Linked DNA regions of Macaca mulatta. The protein of the gene in region 1 binds, or shares a complex with, the protein of each later gene. Links are inferred from orthologs where the notes say so. Each region holds a gene or a part of one and is shown in the gene's direction. Other genes may lie near its edges. The genes, in order: CWC22 and CRNKL1.

The links.
Region 2: CWC22 (region 1) and CRNKL1 share a complex: the UniProt entries of both Homo sapiens proteins name them as parts of the minor spliceosome. The link is inferred for Macaca mulatta from reciprocal best matches to the Homo sapiens genes CWC22 and CRNKL1.

Annotation. Positions count from the first base shown.
Region 1 is NC_133417.1:84,878,394-84,881,173, reverse strand, and holds the end of CWC22 (pre-mRNA-splicing factor CWC22 homolog), read left to right. Parts: intron 1-535; coding exon 536-1,119; 3' UTR 1,120-2,012; downstream 2,013-2,780. UniProt on the Homo sapiens protein: Required for pre-mRNA splicing as component of the spliceosome. As a component of the minor spliceosome, involved in the splicing of U12-type introns in pre-mRNAs. Promotes exon-junction complex (EJC) assembly.
Region 2 is NC_133415.1:63,975,679-63,979,512, forward strand, and holds part of CRNKL1 (crooked neck-like protein 1), read left to right. Parts: intron 1-587; coding exon 588-679; intron 680-1,504; coding exon 1,505-1,663; intron 1,664-2,068; coding exon 2,069-2,235; intron 2,236-3,834. UniProt on the Homo sapiens protein: Involved in pre-mRNA splicing process. As a component of the minor spliceosome, involved in the splicing of U12-type introns in pre-mRNAs.

The DNA of each region.
Region 1 (2,780 bases):
CAATCCAGCCTGGGCAACAAGAGCAAAACTGTCTCAAAAAAAAAAAAAAAAAAAAAAAAGGCCGTGTGCAGTGGCTCAAGCCTGTAATCCCAGCACTTTGGGAGGCCGAGATGGGCGGATCACGAGGTCAGGAGATCGAGACCATCCTGGCTAACACGGTGAAACCCCGTCTCTACTAAAAAATACAAAAAACTAGCTGGGCGAGGTGGCGGGCGCCTGTAGTCCCAGCTACTCAGGAGGCTGAGGCAGGAGAATGGCGTGAACCCGGGAGGCGGAGCTTGCAGTGAGCTGAGATCTGGCCACTGCACTCCAGCCTGGGCGACACAGCGAGACTCCATCTCAAAAAAAAAAAAAAAAAAAAAAAATTAAGCATTTGGTAAGACCCTGTGTCATCAGACTTTCTATTCAATCAATTTGGCTTTGCATCCAGTTTATCTGAGTTAATAAACCTACAGTGTATCGGTAAATGTGATTGTTATAATTATGAAATTAAGATTGAAATAAAAGCTAACTGTCTTTTATTTTACACATGCAGCTAATGATGTAAGAAAGAAGGGACATGGAAAGACCAGAAGTAAAGAAGTAGATAAATTGATCAGAAACCAGCAAACAAATGATAGGAAACAAAAAGAAAGAAGACAGGAACACAGGCACCAGGAAACAAGGACTGAGAGAGAAAGGTCAGAAAAACACAGAGATCAAAATTCAAGAGATTCAAATTGGAGAGATCCTATAACAAAGTACACATCAGACAAAGATGTTCCTTCTGAACGAAATAACTACAATAGAGTTGTGAATGACAGAGACCAAGAAATGCATATAGATTTAGAAAATAAGTATGGTGATCCCAAAAAGAAGAGAGGAGAGAGAAGAAATTCTTTTTCTGAAAATGAGAAGCATAGATACCGAAATAAAGACAGTGAAAATTTCAGAAGAAAAGATAGATCAAAGTCAAGGGAAATGAATAGAAAGCACTCAGACTCAAGAAGTGATGAAGATAGATATCAAAATGGTGCCGAGAGACGATGGGAAAAATCTAGCAGATACTCTGAACAATCCAGAGAATCAAAGAAAAATCAGGACCGGCGAAGAGAAAAGTCTCCAACAAAACAAAAATAATTCTACAAAATGACATAAACTGGACATGCCTTATATTCAGTTGAAACAAATTATTTTTTACTTTGATTGACAAACTTTATAGAGAATTCTTGTATAAAGTACTGGTTTGTATTTGTAAATTTAAAAAATGTTTTCACTTTAACATGTTTTATAATTGATACATCTCAAGGCCCTATACATAAAATTATTTGAAAAGATTCACTAGAAAGGGATGTAAGTCTTGCTTATATTTTGTGAATAAAATGATCAAATGCTCATTGATTCAGTGATGTTTTTTCAATTGACAAAATATTTTTTTGAATTGTTTAAGAAGCTGTTATAGTGAATTATCAGTGCTTTTTTGTTTGTAACTGAAGACCAAAACAGGTGAACCTTTTCAGTTTAACATTTTTGCTTTGTTAATGAGATGTTATGAATATTTTTCAGGTGGTCACTTTTTTTTTCAAGTAGAGGATTTATTACAATTTTCATATTAGGCTTTGAACAAAGTATGTAATGTGTAATTTTTTTCACAAGTGTTGGTAAAGCTAGGTGTATGTTAGTCTTTAAACCAATACACAGTTTATAATTAGAACTTCTCCCACAGGAAATTTCTTCTCTCTGGACTCCTTGATATCATTTAATTGAAATTCTTTGTGATTAGTGCATTTTTCTCAGCCTTGAAGTTATATCACTGTTGATGAATTAATGTGTATTTAATTTTTAGTTTAGATTAATAGATCACTGGCAAACATATAGTTGTGAAATATGCAAGCAGCCTAACTGTAATTTCTGGTTTTTATACGAATTTTAAGGGTTTCCATCATTGTAACTGTTAACCGATTAATTAATATGACATTAGTTACTATTTTTGAAATAAATATTTCCTCTAAGATCTTAGACTTGCTGACAAACATTTGACCTTCCTTGCTAAATATAGACTTCTTGTGTTTGCTCACCTTAAAGGTGCATATAGTTCATTTTAGCCAATGTTTGGTTTCAGGAATAGTGGGACCACCATTTTAATGTTTAGTTTTTGGGCATATGCTTATTCAAAATGTTTCCTATTTTTGTTGTTTAACTTGAATATAAATAACAATAAAATTCATGTAAATAAATATTCTCTCCTCCCCACCAACTCACAAAAAGCATTCATTTGAATGAGACAGCTTGGATACATTCCTTTTAGTGTTTTTTCCCTTTGTGTTGGTTAAAATTTGGTCTCATTGGAAGGGACTATCATGGACAGTGCATTCCACAGAACTACAAGCTGAGCAAATTGGATTTAACAAACATGTGGGCCATGAGCCCTAAGAGAAATAGTTTATTTTTTTTACCTGAATCCTCATCTTCAGGGTTGGTAAAAAGTAAAAAACAGTAGACTAGAAATTTTAGTTTGTTTTCGCCACTTTAACCTTAGTTTATGACTTTTACATGTAAAAATGGGAACCCATTCATTTTATTAAGTGCTTAAGACCTTAGAGTTATTAGATTATTTTTAAAATGTTATTAATATGTATTAAGCTTCTACTGTTTGCTCAGGTTTGTTTTAGGTACTAGAGATAAAACAGTGAACAGAGTCTCTACTCTTTGGGACTTACAGTTCAGGGGTGGGAGATGGTAAACAGACAAAAATAAATAAATATGTGATATATCCAGTAGTGATAAGTGCTATGAAGAAA
Region 2 (3,834 bases), on another chromosome or scaffold:
AGCCTGACCAAAATGGTGAAACCTCATCTTTACTAAAAATACAAAAATTAGCCGGGCGTGGTGGCAAGTGCCTGTAATCCTAGCTATTCAGGAGGCTGACATGAGAATCGTAGGAACTCAGGACGCAGAGTCTGCAGTGAGCCGAGATCATGCCACTGCACTCCGACCTGGGCGACAGAGCGAGACTTTGTCTCAAAGAAAAAAGAGAAGAAAGGAAAAGGAATTGAGATCTGCAAAAGGACTATGAGAAGACTTTGGGATCTGATTTGACCTCTTCACTCTAGAATGTGGGACTGTTTTAAAGCATGAATTCTGTTATATATGAAATTCTGAACGTTACCAGAGGACTTACGGGTAATAGTCAAAATATTTTTTATTAGGGACAAGCATAGACTATTTTAAAGTATCAGTTAGTTGATTGTAACCTTCTGTAGTGGATTTCTTATTCCTCAAGGATTCCAGGATGTAATTTCTCTTAAATATGAACGAAATGAATAACCAGTTTAGTACAAGACTTAAAATAGACCAAGGGTGCTGTCATTTTTAGTCATTTGCCCTTTGACTTGACCCTTTTTGCCTTCTTCCAGACTTTTGAAGATAACATAAGAAAAAACAGGACTGTAATTAGTAACTGGATAAAATACGCACAATGGGAAGAAAGCCTAAAGGAGATTCAGAGGTAAAATTGCTGAAAGTGTAGTTTTGTGTATAATGATTCATAGGTTAACAGATACCAAAAAGAAAAGAAGAAAAAGTTAAAGCACAGATAAAAGATTGTGCCTCGGGTAGAAATTGTCAACTATGGTTCCATGAAACCCTAGGGTTCCCTTGAGGGCCTCAGGAGCACTGGGGTAGAATAGTCCCGGAGGGCGGGGCGGGAGACACTTTACAGATTGATCTTGTCAGCTGTAGCTAAAGTAGCACAATTTCATCTGCTTTCTATATATTGAGATTTTTTTTTTTTTTAATGTTTAGCTGAAAACCAATGGCCAAAAAAATAAAAATTGCAATCTGGCCCTTCCTGTTGTCTCGCTTTCTGCATTCTCCCCTCATACCTCCTTCCCCCGCTGCGCCTGTGTACGTGCCACTCCCTGAATATATCATGTCTCCTTATTGTGAGGCTTGGCTGTTCTCCTCGCCTGGAATGAGCACCCCCTCCACACCAACCTTAGTTTCCTGGTAAATTGGAACTTGCCTCGAGTTCTTGTTTCTAGAGTTACCTACTACTTAGCCTTTTCCACCAGACATTTTCATTTCTTCCTCTCTGCTTCCTGTGCAGATCTTGACTATAACATAAATCACATTGCATTATAATTGCATGCATGTCTTTCTATAAGACTTTGTAAGGTACTTGAGAGCATTATATCTTTTCATCATCTTATGCCCAGAACCTGGCTCGTGGTAGACACCTAATAAAACATCAGGGCATTCCAGATAGTGTGAAATAACCGCTGCATGTGTTGTGTGCACTACTTTTGATGCCCTGCAAATCTTGCTTCTTAAGGGCTCGATCCATATACGAGCGTGCTTTAGATGTAGACTATCGAAATATTACACTCTGGCTGAAATATGCAGAAATGGAGATGAAGAATCGCCAAGTCAACCATGCTCGAAATATCTGGGACCGGGCCATAACAACGCTGCCTCGAGTCAATCAGTTCTGGTAAGTTTCTGATAAAACAGCCTTTTGTAGCCTAGAAAAGTTCCACATTTTCTGTATTTATTTTATTTACATGATGATAGTTTAATTTTACATCCTACTTTTTCTTTAAACATAAATGCTTTTTAATGTCCCATAGTCTGTTAAGTCATAATTGTGATGTTCTACAGCTATGTAATCAAAACTAAAATTTTGGTTGCAATCTTTTGTTCATAAGCTTCTTGTTGAACTAGGCAACTTTTAATAAAAAATCTTTTTTTCCAATGGTTCACCCTTTTTCAGATTTATATTTCAATAACAAAACATGTTCGATTTAACCTTTAAGAAAGATAAAATCTTAAATCTTCCTCCCATTCAACAATGGGAGAACTAAACCACAGCAGATATTTTCGGGTGATTTTGTTAAAGGTACAAGTACACATACATGGAGGAAATGTTGGGAAACATTGCCGGTGCCCGGCAGGTGTTTGAGCGCTGGATGGAGTGGCAGCCTGAGGAGCAAGCCTGGCACTCCTACATCAACTTTGAACTGAGATACAAAGAGGTGGATCGGGCCCGCACCATTTATGAGCGATATATCCTTTGGACGAGAACTGAGTGGTGCCATGATTGTCCTGGGTGCTGCTGCTCCTGTAGAGGTGTCTCATGGTCAGGACACACAGTCATTGACATCAGACTAGAAGTCAAGAATGCCAGTTTATCAGCTTCCCTATGTTTTGTAGGGAAAGAGATTGGTCAGAATGAAAATTTGTGATCTGGGTAATTAGTCTTTTCTAGTGAGAGTTTGGGTTTATTTTATTGTAGTGCTGAAAACTAATGTTTCCTCATGGAAAATGATATTCCTGGGAGATTGTTTCCAGGACATCAAGGAGATGCCAAAATCGGTGATGCTTAAGTCCCTGATATAAAATGATGTAGTATTTGCATGTAACGTATGCATAGCCCCCCATATAATTGAAATAATCTCTAGATTACTTATACCTAATGTAATGTGAATGTTATGTAAATAATTGTTATTCTGTGTATTTTAAGGTATAATAACCAAAAAAACTACATGTTCAGTATAGAAGCACTTTTTTCTCATGAATACTTTATCTCGGGTTGGTTGAATCTACAGATATGGAACCCATGGCTGGAGGACTAACTGTACTAAGGTTCTGGCTGCCCTTGCCAGTCCTGTTTTTCTAAGGTTGGTGTTGGTCATTACTACCGTTACTGGAGTTCATCAAAGGTTTACTGTTTATTGGCTGTGTGGCTCCAGTGAGTCATTTAACTCCTTTGAGTCTTCGTGTCCTCTTCTTAAAAACAAGAATAAAAACACCTTTGTTGGGCTGTTGTGAAGATTAAATGATACACATGAAAGCACTTTTGAAACTGAAGTACAGTCATTCCTCATTATTCACAGATTCCATATTTGCAAAATCACATATTTGCTAAAATTTATTTGTAACCCCAAAAATCAGTAATTGTGGCACTTTCACAGTCATTTGTGGACATGCACACAGCATGAAGTCCAGCAAGGCGAGGCTCTGCCTTCTGGTCTTAACCTCGTATAACCATGCCCAGAGCTTGGAGACAGGAAGGGCCAGTGCCATGTAGTGCAAGGAGCTCCGGCCCTGGGGCCAGTTGGGGAGTTTGAATCTGTCAGTGGGGCAGCCTCAGTCCAATCGCTTAACATTTCTGAATCACTTTTCTTACAAAATAATGAAGATAGAATCTGCTAGGATGAGTTCTTTTTAGGATTTAAGATGATCATGAATGTGAGATTGTATATATACATGTTTCCCCTAGGCACAGTGGTTCAATACTCAATAATTAAGTGTTTGCAGTGACTACATAGAACATAACTACCACAAATAATGAGAATCAACTTTACAATGCAGTATTAAGATCTTTTTATTTTTTTACTCTTCTCTCTTTAGGTGACAGTGTTAAGATCTTAATTATGTCTAGTAATTTTAATATTATTAGTTTGACAAAAGCTTTTATAGTACTTGCTATGTGCCAGGCATTATTCTAAGTACTTTACAAATATTGTGGTTTAATCCTCATAACAACCTTGCAGTGTAGGAACTTCTCCATCCTACAGATGAGGGAGCTGAGGCATGAGAGATTAAGTAGCTTGACTAGGTTCTCACAGGTGCTGATGGGAGTAGAATGTGAACCTAGTAGAG